Ovis aries: one gene and its partners. The protein of the gene in region 2 interacts with the protein of the main gene of each other region in a biochemical or structural test. Links are inferred from orthologs where the notes say so. Each region holds a gene or a part of one and is shown on either strand. Other genes may lie near its edges. The genes, in order: EP300, EID1, NR0B2, RB1 and FBXO21.

Region 1 (3,516 bases), on a different chromosome or scaffold from region 2:
AGTTTACCAGTCCCCCCTACAGAAGCTGCCTTATAGCAGGTCATCTGACAAGGTCAGATGACAAGGTTTCCTTGTCATTTATTTCCCTGCAGTATATGTCGGTTGCCCTTGCTGAGTCTGAACTACTGAAATCACCCTTAGTCTAAGAATTCTTTATAGCCTGCAGTTTAGACTCCTTGATTGAATGTTTTTCAAGGTGTTTTTTGTTTTTTTTAAATAGTCCATGAAATTTTGGAAAGTGAGTCGAAGGAAATAGAACCAGGGCCTTTGGCTCCCTACTCCCATGCACACTTCACTACCTGCTGCTCACTCCTCTCCATCCTCAGATTTGGTTTGGGCTGGCTCCACCTGAGGTGTCTCCTGGTCCGCAGCTTCCGCTGGCCAGAGACCTAAGGCTGCTGTTGTCTAATGAAGAGAGATCAGCAGAGAGATTTTTCAGTGGGAGAAAATTAATGCAAAAACATTAGTAAACCTTAGTTTACAGCTTTAAAAAGAAAGAGGAGCAATGAAGAGAGAGCAGCTGTTAGAAGGTTATGATCTATTGCTCCATCAGAAACTTGTTCTTAACAGTTACTAACAAATAACTGTTCTAAACTTGTAAACAGTCTCTTAGCAAAGAGTTACTAACATTTCTTGTTCTCTCATGCTAACCTGCAGGTGACAAAGGGTGACAGCAAAAACGCTAAAAAGAAAAACAACAAAAAAACTAGCAAAAACAAGAGCAGCCTGAGTCGGGGCAATAAGAAGAAGCCAGGCATGCCCAACGTATCCAACGACCTCTCACAGAAGTTGTATGCCACCATGGAGAAGCACAAAGAGGTAAGAGAACAGCCCCCAGAGTAGGAAAACCAAGGCCAGGGTCCTCCAGAACTGCCCACCATAGTTGGTATTTATGATGTGAGCACCAGATCATTTGAAACTCAGAAGGAAGAAAATCATACTGGAGAAGGAAATGGCAACCCCCTCCAGTACCTTTGCCTGGAAAATCCCATGGACGGAGGAGCCTGGTAGACTACAGTCCATGGGGTCGCAAAGAGTTGGACACGACTGAGCGACTTCACTTTCCCTTAGGAAAAAAAAAAAGAAAATCATTTGAGGGAGAAGAAAGCAAAAAGAGGGTAGTGAGAACATGAAATGGTAAGGTATCTTACTTAGATCTGTAGCTGTTACAAAGCTATATGGTGTTGGGAGAAGTGTAAGCAGTTTGTCTGACCCTATTGTTTGTAACCGTTTTATGTTTGTGTTTCTGTCCATTGTTCAGAAGATGGGCTTGTTGGATATCTTTTGGGTATCTTTGTGCTTTTGCTTTATACCAAAGCCCCTTAGAACTCTATTTGGCCATTCAAGTTTCTAATGGAACTTTGGCGAAACTAATGAATGTTTTGCCATACTGAAAGGGAATTGGCAAATGGAGAGGACTGAAGAAAAGTTAAACTTTGATATATGCATTCATGAATGCCTTCACAGCAAAGTTAAAACTTGGAATTATTTCATTATTGGATATTTGTTGTTTGGGAATAGAACTGAGTATGTTGGGGGTTTTTTCCCCTTCAACATTATTGTTGGTAAGATGAGGCCTTTTGAAGGGTCATGTTGGTTTGTTTAAACATCTGTTTATCTCCATGTTCAGACATCAGGTTCTTACAGGAAGAGGCTATTAATGTGGAGAGGGAACTGATGGTTTGATTTTAGGTGTGGAACTCTGTCATAACAGCGATTAGGAAAGGCCCTTAGAGTATGTTGTAATAGGTATGACTTCAGTTGTAGATACATCATCTGAAGAATATGTGGGTAGTAGTCTCCTGTTAGGAGTTAGAATCTAATGTAATCATTTTATTAAATTTAGGTATTGTTTTAGCTCTAGGGTGACATTCAGCAGTCAGTCACGATGGCTGTTATTAGAGGTTGGCCATAGGGAGTCACCAGGTGGTTTGATCTGCCCCCACTTGTTAGATACAGTACTTCCCTGTGTGTGATCACATTTTCAGGACACTCCTCCTCACTCTGTGAGTGCTTGCTTTGAGCCACAGTAGCAAACCCAGTATCACAGTCCCCCCTTGAGCTTTTAACTCTGGCTTTGAATGTCTTTACTCAGTGTGGATGCTCTTGTCCTGTGTTGTTCGTGGCGTGTGCAATCTTAGTCCCATGTCCCGTCTCCCACCCCCACCCGGGGCCGAACCCATGCCCTTGCAGTGGCAGAGCAGTGTTAACCACTGGACCACCAAGAAAGTCACTGTGTTCTTTTTCTAGACTCTTGTACTATGCCAACATTGCTGCCCAGATATATAACAAATATTATTGCCAGTTTGCATAGATTTTCAGCCTCAAAAAAATGGACAGGTTATAGTGGGCAATACAGCAGTTACAAGTTCTTGATCTCTTGAAGGTTCCCTTTTACATTTTATTATTACAGAAATAGCAGCTTCCTCTTGCAGCCTTTAAACCAGTGGTTATGGGAATCAGTGGTTGTGTTGTGTTTTTAAACAAAAATTTTTTGTTTCTGTAGCAAGGAAAAAGATTTTGCTTTTTTATTCTTCCCACCCCTACCAATTTTTTTTCCTTCCAAACTTACAGGAAAGTACAGAAGATGCCCTCCTGTTGCTTTCAGCTAGATTCATCAGTTAACGTTCTACTACATTTTATTTCAGTAAGCTCCTTCTAAGACAGAGGACACGCTCTGCATAAGCGTGCTGTGACTTCACACTCAGGAAACCTCTCCCCTGTCACCACCTCCCATCTGCTCCTCTGCTGCATGTTGAGTTGCCATGTCTCAGTTCCTGGCTTTATTTTCTTTAATGACATAGGCATTTTGTGAAGACTCCAGGCCAATTGCTTTGTAGAATATCTATCCGTTTGGGTTTTTCTGATTTATTTCCTTATAATTAGAGTCAGGTTAAACCATGGATTGCATCTTAAAAGTTGACCTCTTTGAAGTAGAATGTCCCCTGTATGGCCCTGTGTTTGACCATTCTTCTTTTGAAGAATTACTGAATGAGATAAGATGCAGATGTTTTAGGCCCACTGTAGTCAGTTTCAAAAAAGAGAACAAATGCATGAAGCAGGAGAACGCGGGCTGTGTCGTGGAGCCTTGCAGGGTGGCCACAGAAGGAAGCCAGGCCTCCCGGCCCCCGGGTGCAGAGCCTGGCCAGCTGCCTGCAGTGCTCAGTTCCAGAGTCCAGAGGGGACTGTCTGTGTTGCAGGTCTTCTTTGTGATCCGTCTCATCGCTGGCCCTGCCGCCAACTCCCTGCCTCCCATTGTTGACCCCGACCCCCTCATCCCCTGTGACCTGATGGATGGGCGGGATGCCTTTCTCACCCTCGCAAGGGACAAGCACCTGGAGTTCTCATCACTGCGAAGAGCCCAGTGGTCCACCATGTGCATGCTGGTGGAGCTGCACACCCAGAGCCAGGACCGCTTTGTCTACACCTGCAACGAGTGCAAGCACCACGTGGAGACTCGCTGGCATTGCACCGTGTGTGAGGTGGGTCCCTTGGCGGGGAGGGCTGGGGGATTCC
Region 2 (3,607 bases):
CTCCTCTCCCTGCCAAGCTTTGTCTGAATTATGATCATCCTTGTCAGCCCTGTATTATACAGAAAAGAACCCCCTTCCCTAAAAGACAGGATGACCGCAACATAAGTAAGGCTCTGAGTTGTCCTATTATAGTGGATGTATCCTTTACTGCCATAATGCAGCAAAAACATCTGGTACATTTTTACTAATCTTAAGACATGCTGGTATACTCAGTTTCACTGGGCACAGCCTTCTAATTATATTATTCATAGAACTTCAGCATCTTACTAACCACCATGAGATGCTTACTGATTTGGCAGGTTTTCCCAGCTTGGCAAATTCTCTTATAGGAATTTACTAAGTTTAATTTACACCAATTAATTTGTAATCCGGTATTTGAAGCTGGAGCACTTTCCCTTATATAAGTCATTAAATTTAAATCATAAAATGGTTGCAATCACACAATCAAACAGTATAGCAAATAAAAAGTAGAATTAGAGAAAGTATTATACAATTAGACAAACAAATAAAATACAGAGAACAAGAAATCTTTATTATCTTGAATGCTGGTGCATAACCAAAAGCAAGCTTAATTAGAGGAGGAGACAGAGGGAAACTTCAGATAGTGAGGTGGATTTCTGGGTAGAAAACCCTTTAAAACTTTCAAGGGTTGTTCATAGTGTCTTTTTTTAGATGTAGGGCTTTCCTTTTACTGGACAATGTTCATTTAACAGTTCTTACATTATGAAGTTCAACCAGAGTCTTTTGCCTGTAAAGTTAAATGAAAAAAAGAGAGCAAGTGAAACAGAAAATTCTCTAGTATATACAGATGTTTCAAGAGTTTGTGTTCTTTGTACCTTCATGTACATTTTACAGTCTAAATTTGAAACTTTATTAAGGACGTCTTAAGTTTTGACTTTAAAATATGTTCAAGGCAATGAATTTTCTTGAATTAAAGATTACAGTAGCTTTAAAAATGATCAAGATATATGTACAAACAAAATCTCAGTTGTTCTTGGAAACACATTTTAATAGCACACAAGACACATACTTCTTTTGGGTCTAGATTATCCTTTGAGATACTGAAGAATACTCGGTAGATTTATTTTACACTTAAAATTTAGCCTTAACCACAGCTCGGATAGATCACAAAATTGAATCTTTAAAGTTTTCTCAATATGCTTTCAGTCCAAATAACTCAAAGACATCTTATGTCCTAAAATGGATACATCAGTTACTTTTTCTCATATAATTATCATCAGTGGGCTCTGGTACTGGCAGTCTGTCTTGGTCATAATTTATTCTTGCAAAGCCATTCCTTACAGTGAAACATGAAAAGATTATCTTCCTCAATGCAAGGAAATTACTCTGAATAAACAACAAAGTCAAAGCCATAAGTGTCTCTGGACATTCTTGAAAACAGGTTTCAACAGTACTAAGATACTCTTCTTTAACAATTTTCTTTCTTTTTCATAACTGTGCAGTCACTACCTTATTCTACTCAGCAAAAAAAAAAAAATTTTTTTTGGGGGGGGAAGATTAAGTTTTTCATTGGCACAGAACTATTTGGAATGAACTCAAAAGACAGTGGAATGTTGGGTCTCTCCTCAAGCAGCTTCCTCCTCTCTTAACAGCATTTAACTACTCTCTGTCAATGATCTCATCACAGCCGAGTTCTTCGGTCAGACGATTGACAACCATAAGTGAAAAAAGCTCTTCGATAAAAGCCAATTGATCAAACGGGGTCTTCTCATAATGCATCTGAAACCCGCCATCCAGAGCTGCTTCTCTGGCTCTGGAGGTTCTCAGAAACATCTTGTTGGCTTCTTCAAGGGCCGCTGAAACTCTGTAGCCCGCACCACTGAGCGGCTCCTCTTCAGGATAGTCATAGTCGTCCTCCCAGACATCGAATTCCTCGCCCTCGTCCTCGCTCTCGAAATCAGGGCCCGCGATCTGGCCTGGCTGCTCCCCAGGGCTGGGCCGGCTAGCGAGGCCTCGGGGCCCCTGTGGCTCCGCCATTGGCTGGGTCGCCTCCTCCTCCATTGGGCCTTCCTCCTCCAGTTGTGGCGGGGCCCCGGCGCGGGAGGGGTTCGGGGATAGCTCCCGGCTCCCGCCGCCTACCTCCATATGCGGAAGGTCACTCTCACCAGGAATCACATCCATCTGCAGATCGTTGCTCTCCTCATAGAGCTCGGACAGCTCGTTCATTTCAGACATAGTGCAAGCAGCGCAACCTCCCCACAATTCGTTCGTTTTCCACAAGCTCGGATATACGCGGGCGTGCGGTTGTGCGCTTGCGCAAGCGCCGTGCGCTTGCGTGACCTCGTGCGTGTGCGCGACCCCCAAACACCGCCTCCTGCTCAGAGCGCGGCTCTGGTTATCGACAGGGGAGCCTGGCGTGCTGCGATTCATGGAGTCGCAAAGAGTAGGACACGACTGAGCGACTGAACTGAACTGAGTGCCCCCCATCGCCCTCTGGGGGACATTCCCAGTGCTCGGTGGTCTGCGCTCCGTGCGTTCGAATTTCAGACCTAGGGCTGTGCATTGCTTGGCACCTTACCTAACCGTTCTGCTGCTTATGAGGCTATAAACTTGAAAATACTCTATATGCCTTCTGTAAGACCCCTTACAGAAGGTGGGAAAGATTGAGGGCGAGAGGAGAAGGGGACGACAGAGGATGAGATGGTTGGATGGCATCACCGACTCAATGGACATGAGTTCGAGTAAACTCCGGGAGTTGATGATGGACAGGGAGGCCTGGCGTGCTGCAGTCCAGGGGTCGCAAAGAGTCGGACACCACTGAGCGACTGAACTGAACTGAAGACCCCTTAATCTTCCTCCCCTCTCGCCCCTCTCCTTTCTCGCTCTCCTCTTTCTGCCGCTCCTCTTACCTCCATCCCCAGGCAGTCGCTTCTGCTCCAAGGTTTTAACTAAGTTTATCTCTGCGCTGCTGCTGCTAAGTCGCTTCAGTCGTGTCCGACTCTGTGTGACCCCATGGACTGCAGACTACCAGGCTCCTCCGTCCATGGGATTTGCCAGGCAAGAGTACTGGAGTGCGTTGCCATTCCCTTCTCCTATCTCTTCGCTAATAACCGCTAAATCTGCACCTGAAAACCACAAGGTGTTCTTAGCCATACATCAGCATATTAAGAACTCATCCATCCCTCTCTTCTATTTTTCTCATTTAAAAAATGTTAAATCACAAATAAGCATATTATTGGTGTTCTTTAAAAAATATGCAGAGAAGAAATACATGGGCCCATTTTTGTCCCCCGCAGGAGGTGACTTTACACTTAATTTGCTGTGTGTTCTGTAAGTCTTTTCCCGTGCATTTATGTGAATCTTTTAAGTCTCATGGAAAAATCTTATATTTTTAACGTCTTACATAATTGCCTTCAACTTATAAAAAAGCAAAAACCCCCTAAATCTTGTAGATTTAGCGGTTAGTATACACAGACATGTTTTCATAGTATTCTGTTTGTGTAGCTATACTGTAGTTGACTTAACTATGCACAAAGAATTTTCCTTTTTTTTTTTTTTGTATTGTATGGGTAAATGAATATCTTCGTGTGCCAATACTTCTCTCTAGTAAAAACCTAGAAGCGGAAAGGTGGAATTACAAGTTATG
Region 3 (4,118 bases), on a different chromosome or scaffold from region 2:
TGTAACCCCATGGCCTGCAGCACGCCAGGTCTCCTGTCCATCACCAACTCCTGGAGTTTATTCAAACTCATGTCCATTGGGTCGGTGATGCCACAGGGGAAGTGAATGATCCCACACGACAGAGATTCCCGGAAACTTTCAATTTGGAAATGGGCTGCTTCATTTTCCTTATTGGTGACTCTCAGTGAGGTGAGAGGGAGGCTGGGGCAGAAGCAGAGGGAGGGATCAGCAGGGGATTTGAGGAACAGGGAGGGATACTCCTACCCCTTGATATAAGGGCAAGGATGTGTGGGGTCCTGAACTGATACTAACTCCTGGATCAGATCCATGTAAAATAAATCTCACTGCCAGAAATGAAATCAGCATCCCACCCTGAAAAATCAAAACTCCAGTTTCCTGAGTTCTGGCTTGTGTGTCACTTGTAGCTCCTTCCTCTTGGGCTCCTCTGGCGGGCCGGGGGACTCTGGAGATGAACCAGTCCCTTCCACGTGTACAAACTACACTGTCAGGTTCCAAGGGTGTCACACCTTTTATTACAAAAGCCAATAACTTAAGTCAGTTCCGTACAAAGTCAGTAGAACTCCTGGCCCAACAGCGGACACTTCTACCCTGCCCCAGGAGGGGAGAGGAGTCTTGGCCCAGAGGCTCTGGAACCACCAAGGGCTGGCCAGACAGCTGGAGCACTGTGTCCAAACTGAGGAGGGTCAAGGTGGGATGTGGCTGAGTGAGGGCCCACCTGATTGGGCTGGAGCCAGCTGCTCTGGGGAAGCCTCTGGGAGCACTGGGTCACCCAGGGGACAGCCCGGCCAAATCAGCGCTGCCAGCCTCCACCCAGGCCCTGCTTGGGCTGGAGCAGGTCAGCTCAGCAGAAGCATGTCTTCAAGGAGGTCCGCGATGTCAACGTCTCCAATGACGGGGCGAAGGAAGAGATCTCCAAGCAGGCTGGGTGGAATGGACTTGAGGGTGGAGGCCATGAGGAGGACACGCGCCAGGCGGCTTTGGCCTGCTGGGCACCAGGGCTCCAGGACCTCCCACAGTGCCTGGTGCGCCTCCTGCTGCAGGTGCCCGATGTGGGAGGAGGCGTAGAGACCTGGCACTTCTGCGGACAGAGAAGGCAAAGATGGCTGCTGAGTGGCCTACTCCAATACCACAGGGCAAGACTGGCCCAAGACCCAAGGCCACCAGCTTGGCGCCTTTGAGTCCCCATCACTACCTCCTTCATTTATTTATTTTTCACTTCATTTATCCATCCTTCATGGAGACGCAGGATAGAGCCATGGGTAAGACCCTGGGGGGCCTGGCTTTTAATCCCACACTGTCACTTATTAGCTGTGTGCCCTTGGGGAAATTTACTCAATCTCTGTGCCTTGGGTTCCTCGTTGATAAAACTGGGACAAATAATAGTACCCATCTCCTAGGCTTGTTATGAGGTTTAAATGAGCTAGTGTATATAAAACCTTTAGAACTCGACCTAACATACAGTAAATGTAATGCGAGTGTTTGCTATTACTATAATGAATTACTCTGATCATGCATTCCTTGGGGGCATTTTGATGATTTCTCATCTAAGCGCCTTTCAGATCACAAAGAAGTCTTCCTCTATTTGTTGTCCTGGCTGAAATTTACGAAGACTCCTCCCTCTTCCCCCTCCCCACCCCCATTTTCATTTCTCTTCTCTACGTGGTCTTTCTGAAACCGCAGTTTCATCTTCAGAACTTCTCCATGCAGTCTGCTCATGAAGGCGTGACCGAGGCATAGTCTGCCCACCCTCCCCTCCCCTTCTGCCCTAAGGGTCAGGGAAATTTCTTAGCAGAGCAGTAAGGACTAGATTTTGACATCAGTAGACCTGAGTCCCCATTCTTTCTCTTCCCCCACCTGGCTATGTGACTTTTCGCAAGTCGCTTTGCCTCTCTGAGCTTGTTTTGCAAGATGGCTATTTGGAGATAATCAGGACCCAGAGGGATTTCAGTTGTTAAGTCCTTAGAATGCGTCTTTCCCTGGCTGAGCCCTGCCCCCCTCCAGCCTTGGCCCTCATCCAGGAGTGTCTGGGATCTCACCAGGGTTGAAGAGGACAGTCCCTTTCAGGTAGGCATACTCCTTGGGGCCCAGCTCCAGACTCCAGAAGGACTCCAGGCAGCACTGTAGCCACTGCACCTCAGCTAGCGAGGGCTGGGGCCGATCGGGCCGCTGGCTGCTGCCTGCCCCGCTGCTGGGCTTCTCCAGCAGGATCTTCTTGAGTATGCTAGGCATCGGGACCTCGGCCACCTGGAAGGTCACAGTGTCTTGGGCCAACCCCAGCAGGAAGAGGGGCCCCCAGCAGCCCCGCAGCAGCTGCCGCCGATCCTGGGAGGGCAGCTGGCAGAAAGACGGCAGGTTCCTGAGGAAGGCCAGCGTCTTGGCCAGAACATCCAAGGCCTCCTGGCAGGTGCGATGGGGCGTACACAGCTGAACAGGCCGGTGCTGCCTGCACAGGCAGCGGCCGCGGGCTGGGGCCACGGAGGGCCAGTCCCTGACGCTGGGGCTCAGAAGTGTATACAGAATGGTCGGGCGGCCTGCAGCACCCTGGCACGGGCAGGACCCTGGCTGGCTGGAGCTCATGGTCGAGGATCTGCTTTGCCTTCCTGCTGGCTCTCCCACCCTCGGCTTGGTGCTGTGGGTGCTATTTATATCCCCAAATGGGGGAGGGAGGGGGGAACCGCCCAACAACCTTGACTCCAAAAGTCATGTTCATTGAAAAAAAAAAAAAGAAACTCACACTGACCCTGGCAGGACCCAGGGGGAAGTGGTGGGGGAGGGAGACTTGGGAGCTCCACGTGGCCCCGATATCACTTCAGTCAATGAAGCAGCGGGTGCAGGGCACAGGGCCGCCTGCCCGCTGGCCCCGCTGCCCTTTATCAGATGATTCAAGTGGATAAACAGGGTCATTAACCCAGGCTGTACCAGGGCACCAAGGCCTCAGGTGCACAATCAGCAGGTGGCCGTGGCAGGTGTCCCCATTGGTGCCTGCAGGACTCGCGCTCAGCAGGGGAGCCAGCCCCAGAGCCGACGAGCCTTGAACGCAGGGCCCAACCTGGAAGCGCCTTATCACTTGCTTGTTTGCCTAACCTTGAGGCCCTGCTCCTGTTGTTAGTAAGGAACAGGCTGCAGGGAAGGGAGCCAGGATCCTGGGGGTGCTGGGAGGACTTTGCCTGGCTGTGCAGTCTGGAGGAAGGCCCCCTTCCTCTAACCCCAAGTTCTGGGTGGCGGAGAGGCCTGCAAAAATAAGGTCCTTAAGAACTCTCTCTCCCCAGCCTGGACCTCTTGAAGGGCCCTTGTCTGCTGAGAAGCCCTGGCAGAATGATGATGAAATACTACTGTTTATTGAGCACCTACTATGCGCCAGGCACTTTCCACTCTAATATTCAGAGCTTCCTTCTGAGGCAAAATGCTTGCTTTTTGAGACTCAAAGAAGTCAAGTGACTTGTCCAAGTTCACATCACTAAAAAGAGACAGAGCCTAGATCAGTCTGACTCCAAAATCCTTGCTTGTACCCCTGGACCCACTGGCCCAGTTGTGCAGCCAGAGCTGGTGACGACCTGGGCCCCCACCTCACTGTTGTAGACGTTGCCCACTTACGATCTGGACAGAAACGTTGCTCGGCCGCCAGCTGCATGGCTCCTCTGTCCCCAGGCAGCTGTCTCGGATGCTGGGGCCTGGGCAGTGAATGCTGGTGGCAAGGTCCTTGGCTATGTCAGGTTTGTGGACCTTGGCAAGGCCAGCTTGGCAAGCCTTCTGCTGACACACTGTTGGGCAACTGTCGCCACCCCTGACATCCTCTCCTGGCTCTCTGTCTTCCTAGTTGTGTGACTGTGGGCTGAACCCCAAATCTCTGCGGGCCTCAGAGCTTCACTCAGAATAGTGCCTGCCTGCAGGGCTATGCTGTGAGGACAAAGTGGTGTCAAATTCCAAGCAGTTTCTGGCATACTGGAGGAGGACTTTGCTCCCCCCTTCCCCTGACTAAGGAACAAAGGCAAATAGGCCCACAGACAGGCACGCATCTTTCATGCAATTAAAATCGCATAATAATCTTTTTTTAAAAAGCACAAGTAGATTTTGATAAATTATAATTAGGTTGATCA
Region 4 (3,516 bases), on a different chromosome or scaffold from region 2:
TCCTTTATTTGGGCAAATCTGCTTATAAACCAGTGGATCTCACTGAAGTGTTAAGTAACCTCCTGCTTTTGTTTTTGCTGTAGCCCCCTACCTTGTCACCGATTCCTCACATTCCTCGAAGCCCTTACAAGTTTTCTAGTTCACCTTTACGGATTCCTGGGGGGAACATCTATATATCACCCCTAAAGAACCCATATAAAATTTCAGAAGGTCTGCCTACACCGACAAAAATGACTCCAAGATCAAGGTTTGTGTTTTCTTTTTAGGAAAGCGGTAACAAATGAGAGGGGTTTTTTTTCTTTTTTAATCCAAGCATAAAACCATAAAGCTTTCTTTATTTAGCTCTAGTCCCTAATTTCCTAATTTATATTAAGTGCCATGATAAAAATAAAAATCGGAGGTGTTGGGGGCGAGACAATCTGTTTACTTAGATGGGTTTGCAAATTTACTCATCAACTTTCCTGGCTTCTTGGGTCTTTTATAAACAATCTGAGTACTAGTTTGATCCTAAGTTTCAGATCACTCTCAGAGTTTTTTAAGTAGCCACCCTGCTAAACAAAGTAGATTCCTTTTGCTAAGAATTTTTATTCTAGAATTTATTGAATGTCCTGTGAACTCTTTCTGTGGTTCTGTTCATCTTGCTTATGAAAATGTAGATGACTGATTAAATGTAGATGATGGTAAATGAAGTCTTTAGAAGTCCATCCCTACTTCTGCCTGCGGCCTCCTTGTATTACCTTGGGCAGGTCTCTGCTTCAGAAGGCTGCTGTGGCTCAGGTAAATGATGAGTGTGAAGCTGTTTTAAATTCTTAGATGAAAGACTCCGTGCACCTACAAATCATTATGTTATCTTCTGCATTCAACAGTGGGTGCTCTCTGGCTTTGAAGTACTTCAGCTGACTTATTATATGCTATCATGGGCTATTTGAATCTGACTTTATTTGAATAGTGGAGGCAGATTAATTAGTAAAGTTAATGTAGTCTCATCTCAGAAATTGTTAGCCCATATAGTTGCACTTAATGGGCAAGAAAAACAAACAAGAAGAAGGGGATATATTAATCCTGTGAAAACAGTGTAGTGTGTTTACTTATATAAGCAATGCCCACTCATAAAAATTTCAAACTGTACAGTAAAGGGAAAAGTAGAAAATAACTGGCAAATGATATAAATGCTCCCATGTGCCCCTGTGTTATTTTCTATATATTTAGTGTTTTTATGGTTGAGTATCTATGTGCTGATATCTACAATTTACATTTTAAGCTGCTGAGGTGCATACCATGTCTAATTTATACATTGCTACAGGAAAATGTATACTTAGGTAAATTTTTAATGATGATAATTAACCCATATTATGCTGATAATGATAGCTACTTGCTGATCTTAGTTAATTCACTTCAGGGTTGGAGTCCTTTAGCAAAAAAGTCACATTCTGAAAATCCTGATCAGCTATTAAGAGAGCATCTTAACACTCTCTGTATTCACCATATTTTGGTAAATTATATAGAATGATGGCTACTTATCAAAGAATTGGAGAACAATAAAATCCATATATCTGTTGATTCCGTGTGCATATGATCACATCTTTGTCATATCAGGCTAATGTTCTTCAGCTTTATTATCAAATGCATAAATTATATGTTTCAAACAGGGACAAACTAAGAGATTTCTGATTCTAAGATATGTGTTAAATGTTGTTTTAGTTGCTAAGTCATGTCCGACTGTTTTGTGACGCCATGGACTGTAGCTCACCAGGCTCCTCTGTCCATGGGATTTCCTAGACAAGTATACTATAGTGGATTGCCGTTTCCTTCACCAGAAGATCTTCCCAGCCCAGGGATCAAACCTGCGTCTCCTGCATTGGCAGACAGATTCTTTGTCATAGAGACACCTGGGAAGCCCACATGTTAAACCTTTACCATATATCAGTATAGATCCTAAATAGAATTCAGATTATCATTTATACCATATATAACTTGGTTTTACCAAATATAACTTGACTTTTTAATGAGAAAATGTGAAATAAATTTGAATTGTTTCCTTACTCATTGATTTATGAAGAGTTAAGTATGAGTAAACTTAAAATTTTCTTTTACCCTCTTTCCTTGTGAGCAATGGCAAAATATATTCTTGTAGACATGCAGTTCTTGCTTTAAAAATCTAAGGAATGAGCTTAGTGTGTGACTAGACTAGCACTACCAAAATTAGCCTTTAATAAGTATAATCTGTCAGTGGTTCTAGGGGTAGAAGAAACCTTTGATTTGGTCTTCCTGTGAGTTCAGAATGACGTGTGTATGTTCATCTCTGCATAGTTGTATATGATTTGCATTACTAATTTGTATTTTATATTAACTTGACAGAATCTTAGTATCAATCGGTGAATCATTTGGGGTGAGTATTTTTTCTGTGAATTACTATAGCATGATACCATAATTATAAAAGAATTTGAAATTTTCTGTAATTGAATTTATAAATGCTACTATTCAAGTACCTCATTCAAGCATGTTGCATAAAATTGAGAAGATATATATATATCAGATTTATTTTCAAATCAGGTTTAATTTTAAATCATATTCATAATTGGTGTATTTCAAAACTGCTTTCTAAACACCTTTGAGATTATATGTGTATATACATTAATGTATATACATACAAATATGTATGTGCATTATATAGTCTCAAAGGAATGTTTTAAAAAACAGCTTTGAATTTCACTAATTGGGAGTATGATTTAAAGTACTCTAAAATGTAGCCACCACGCCCACTTGTCTCCTTCTGTACATATACACATTTTTGCTTTTCCTTCCTCTCCAACTTCTAGGATATTCTTCCCTGGTAAATTGATTAGGAATTGGTTACATGCCCCAGTGTAAGTGACAGGCTGTGTGGTGGTCTTTGTTGCAGAGGAATCTAGGGGGAAAGTTAAGCTTTGAAATGGTTATTCTAGTCTGGGAGCCCACTACTCTTAGCTGGCCTTTCCTTACCATCACTAATTCACAGTCCTATATTCAGTGAGCATTACTGAATGTTTCATCCCACCACCCCCACCTATATTTGTTATTTATTGCTGCATAACAAACCACCCCCAGACTTAGGCATTTAAACCTTTTGAAATCTCATTCCTTGTGGCTCACTGAGCAGGCCTGGCTCAGCCGGGTCCAGGGTCTATCTGTACGAGGCTGCGGTCAGCATGTCAGCTGGATCTGCAGTTATCTCCAGGTTCACCTGAAGGACCACCTTTCTCAGTCAGACTCACTTGTATGGCTGTTGGCCGATCCTTGATGGCTGTTGGCTCAAGCCAACATCAGTTCCTTGACACCCGGGCTTCTCCCTCGGGTGGCTGGCTACTCACAACAGAGAGGAGGGAGGGGAAGAGGGAGATAAGCAAAATTGAAGTCAGTCTTCTTGTCATATTGGAAGTGACTTGCCATCACTTTTGCTGCATTATTTTATCAGAAGCAGGACAACACTAGGTCCAGCCCCACATTCAAGGAGACAATTAGTGAGAGCCATTTTAG
Region 5 (3,516 bases), on a different chromosome or scaffold from region 2:
CATCTGGGATAGTCACTTTCTCCAGGATCTAAAAAGCATGCAGGGAAGCTGAGACAGGAGTTCCTGCTATCAGAAAAATACTAAAGCACCCCCCCTAGTGGTAGGAAAAATTACAAACACGCAAAATGCTGTAGAGCCTATTAAAATACTGATGGAAAACATCTTTTAATGCTGCTGGCTAAAACTATTTGAGGGTGGCACACACATATGTGGCTTATAACTCACTCTTCTGTGGAGAGCAAAGAGAAAGGCATTCATTAATGGGCTCTGCCCAGATTACCAGGATCAATGCAGCCAAAGGTTGAAAATTTAGAAGATGAAAGTTTAAAAATAATTTAATGCAAATGTATTAACTCATATATGTTCAAAAATATATTTAAATAAGTGTTTTTAAAATGTAGCCTCTCAAGATCACTCCCTGGCTAAATGTGGGCTAACCTGAGCATAAAATTGTTCCAAATGATTATAACACATTGACTAAACAAAAAATCCAGCAATCCTTGCGAGGAGGCGGGAAGGAGAGAGAAAGGAGACAGCAAGCGAAAGGAGAGGAGAGAGGTGGCGGTGGAGAGGAAAGCAAGAGGAGGCAAAGCTCTGCTTCACTAGAGGGCACACTCACAGCAGAAAATCACCATCTTACAACTTTCATATCATGATTTAGGAAGGAAGAGCCAACAGGAGCTAAAACAGACATAAGGACAAAGGTCATCACTGGGGAACAGGTTATACCCAGGACTGGGTCATAGTTTGACCCCATGGATTTCTTGTTAACTGCAGATGGAACACTATCCCTTACAGGGTGTCACCGTCTTGGCCAAGTGACCAAACTCCGCCTCCCTGACAGTGGACATGGAACCCCACGGCCTCTGGATGAGACGCAGCGTGAAACACACAGCACGCGAGAGCAAGCTCACCAGCCAAAAACCCCAACTCCATCTAACACAACCTGAGATTAACTTCTGGTTTACAGACAATACGCCAAGAAACAGTGAGACAAATCCAGACTGGTAAGACAATTTGTAAGCCAACTGATCCGGACTCTTCAAAAAAGTGAAAGTCATGTAAAAAGCGGGGAAAGATGAGACTGAGGAACTGTTCTTTACCAAGAGAGAACAGAGACATAACAACCAAACACAACCATTAAGGACGCATAGGAGTGAAGGCCAGGCCTGTGAAGAACCCTGAGGAGAGCGCCCCCCAGGGCAGGGCGGGCCGGCCTCTGGGGGCTATGACAGAGCTCTTCCTCAGCGCTGAATGCCGGAGCCCAGCACCCCCGGGCACACACGTGCTGGGCAAATGCAGACCGCAGGCCAGTAAAGTACTAGCAGCATCACACAGGGATGCCCACGCTCAGTCCCAAGAGTTTCCTGCAGGTCCCAGCATCTAACCTTAAAAAGGGCGATTTGCTACCTTTACCTGTGATCCTTCGATCTCAGTTTTAGAGAGTGTGAAACTGATAAGCAGATACTACATTTATAAAACAACAATGTCGTTACAGTATCCTTGCAGGGAGCCTTACAGCACATGCTGGCCCCAGATATGATTAGGATGCATCCCTGAATCGCTGGGACACTGGACAAATTCAGAACACCTTGAAACCAAACACCCAGCTTTACCTACTCTAAAAAGCCTGTTTCAAAGTTAATATCGCTGTTTCTAGACACCCAAATATCAGATACTACAAGTCTTCATAACAACCCCGTGTAATGGGCAATGACCGGATAAGGTGCGGGCGCAGACACGGCCCCAAGAGCTGACAGTGTCCTCTGTTCTCGTGATGCGCTCCATGACGTGCAGTCTGAAATGCGCACTGAGTGATTGGTGGGGGAGCAAACCGGCCATGAATCATTCAGCAATTCCCAAATAACTTGATTGCTAAAATTCGTAGGATTTTTTTTTCTGACACAGCTTCTTATGTTAAATAAAACCACTGTCAATATCTCCGTCTGACATGGGGTACACGCTGACCCCTCTCATAACTCCCCTAGTGCTGATGGAGATTAGGTGACCTCTGGTCTCAATAAAGGGAAGTTCTCTTTTATAAGATCCTCTCTCATATTCTGATGAATTAACAGTAATTAACATGAGCCCTTTTCTAGTCTTGTTGGCACTTCTGAGATTTTTATACATCTAACATTTCTATTACTGGATTTACCAGAACATAATACTGACTTAGGTCAAACCTTATGTTTTAGGTGAGATGCAAAAAGGTTCAGCATGATGGTTAGGCAGAAGGCTCTTTGCCAAGCTGCCTGTGTTCGTACTCTGTAAAATTCACACATCTCAACATGCTTCAATTTCCTAGCGTATCAAACGCGTATGACGACAACAATGACGGCAATCTAGAGCTCTCAGAGAAGCTCACACACATCGGAAGGCTGCTGTCACAGAGCAGCACCGCAAAGCATTCGTGTTAATTTTTATGAATAAAAGGGACAATGTGGATGCCTTGACAGGCAGGCATGCAATAAACTCATCCCATTAAACGGAGAGGCAAAGACGACGAGGGCCCTGGGTGCGCACCTGTCAGGGCAGGCAGTGGCCCCTAACACCTGCCAAGCACCTACCCACTGACTCCCCGCTGCTCTCAGAGCCAGAGCTGTGGCCTGCAGTTCCCACGACGGCCACTGGGGGTGTAGCTCTCCCAAGCACCACTCTGCTGGCTGCCAGATTCAGGGTGCAGGGCGGCTCCCCCGCAGAGCCCATTCCGTGCCCTCCAGTCCAGGCAGGCAGTATGGGCAGGGCAAAGACTGGCCCTCCCTGCCTGGAGGGAGCCAAAGGCAGTGGCTAGGAAACAGGACTTTCAGAAACTAGGGCTGGCAGAGGCAATGACCGATCAGAACAGAAGTGGGCAACAGCTTGGAACACGGGTGTGGTGGTGACTAGGGGCGAAGACCCCGGGGCAGTGACCAGCTAACTGGTCGATATGGCTGCAAAAATACATACCCACCTATGTTTAGCTGAGTATCAGCCCTGATGAGGTTGATGGCTGTGTGACAACTGCTGACTCTCAAACCGACCACCTCTGCCCGCAGTATCCGAGTGCTCAAACGTGTGTCTGAGGTACAGACAGAGCCCGCCACTCACCCTGGGCGGCGTACCGACAGGACCCGTCCTCCACCAGGACGTTGTAAAAGGGCTGATGGTGGCCGTGAGGCAGGCTGTGGACGTTCATATTCCGGATCCACTCGTGGCCCATCATGCAGGTGGGGTCCCAGCCGTAGATGACACAGTTATAGCCGTACCTGATCAACACAAGAGCAGCCACACGTCAGCTTCCTGATGGGGGAGCGGGACACAGAGGCGATGGCGTGGCTTCTCCGAGGCTCACGTTCTTACAGATCTACCTGCCTTCACTCTACGCTGAATCAATTTCACTCCTGACCTCTTTAAGAACCCCTCTTATTGACAAGCTCACTCTATCTCGTTGCCGCTGCTGTTCAGTTGCTAAGTCATGCCCGACTCTTTGTGACCCCACAGACTGCAGCAAGCCAGGTTTCCCTGTCCTTCACTGCC

The links.
Region 1: the proteins of EID1 (region 2) and EP300 form a complex in vitro, tested with the Homo sapiens proteins (3 studies listed by BioGRID). The link is inferred for Ovis aries from reciprocal best matches to the Homo sapiens genes EID1 and EP300.
Region 3: the proteins of EID1 (region 2) and NR0B2 form a complex in vitro, tested with the Homo sapiens proteins (3 studies listed by BioGRID). The link is inferred for Ovis aries from reciprocal best matches to the Homo sapiens genes EID1 and NR0B2.
Region 4: the proteins of EID1 (region 2) and RB1 form a complex in vitro, tested with the Homo sapiens proteins (5 studies listed by BioGRID). The link is inferred for Ovis aries from reciprocal best matches to the Homo sapiens genes EID1 and RB1.
Region 5: of the proteins of EID1 (region 2) and FBXO21, one has a biochemical effect on the other in vitro, tested with the Homo sapiens proteins (2 studies listed by BioGRID, with this or other methods). The link is inferred for Ovis aries from reciprocal best matches to the Homo sapiens genes EID1 and FBXO21.

Annotation. Positions count from the first base shown.
Region 1 is NC_056056.1:218,165,857-218,169,372, forward strand, and holds part of EP300 (histone acetyltransferase p300), read left to right. Parts: intron 1-657; coding exon 658-819; intron 820-3,200; coding exon 3,201-3,482; intron 3,483-3,516. UniProt on the Homo sapiens protein: Functions as a histone acetyltransferase and regulates transcription via chromatin remodeling. Acetylates all four core histones in nucleosomes. Histone acetylation gives an epigenetic tag for transcriptional activation.
Region 2 is NC_056060.1:59,480,008-59,483,614, forward strand, and holds EID1 (EP300-interacting inhibitor of differentiation 1), read right to left. Parts: upstream 2,240-3,607; 5' UTR 2,197-2,239; coding exon 1,621-2,196; 3' UTR 512-1,620; downstream 1-511. UniProt on the Homo sapiens protein: Interacts with RB1 and EP300 and acts as a repressor of MYOD1 transactivation. Inhibits EP300 and CBP histone acetyltransferase activity.
Region 3 is NC_056055.1:240,027,498-240,031,615, reverse strand, and holds NR0B2 (nuclear receptor subfamily 0 group B member 2), read right to left. Parts: upstream 2,636-4,118; 5' UTR 2,599-2,635; coding exon 2,058-2,598; intron 1,100-2,057; coding exon 858-1,099; 3' UTR 511-857; downstream 1-510. UniProt on the Homo sapiens protein: Transcriptional regulator that acts as a negative regulator of receptor-dependent signaling pathways. Specifically inhibits transactivation of the nuclear receptor with which it interacts.
Region 4 is NC_056063.1:18,567,341-18,570,856, forward strand, and holds part of RB1 (retinoblastoma-associated protein), read left to right. Parts: intron 1-83; coding exon 84-247; intron 248-2,358; coding exon 2,359-2,389; intron 2,390-3,516. UniProt on the Homo sapiens protein: Tumor suppressor that is a key regulator of the G1/S transition of the cell cycle. The hypophosphorylated form binds transcription regulators of the E2F family, preventing transcription of E2F-responsive genes.
Region 5 is NC_056070.1:57,955,910-57,959,425, reverse strand, and holds part of FBXO21 (F-box only protein 21), read right to left. Parts: intron 3,246-3,516; coding exon 3,088-3,245; intron 1-3,087. UniProt on the Homo sapiens protein: Substrate-recognition component of the SCF (SKP1-CUL1-F-box protein)-type E3 ubiquitin ligase complex.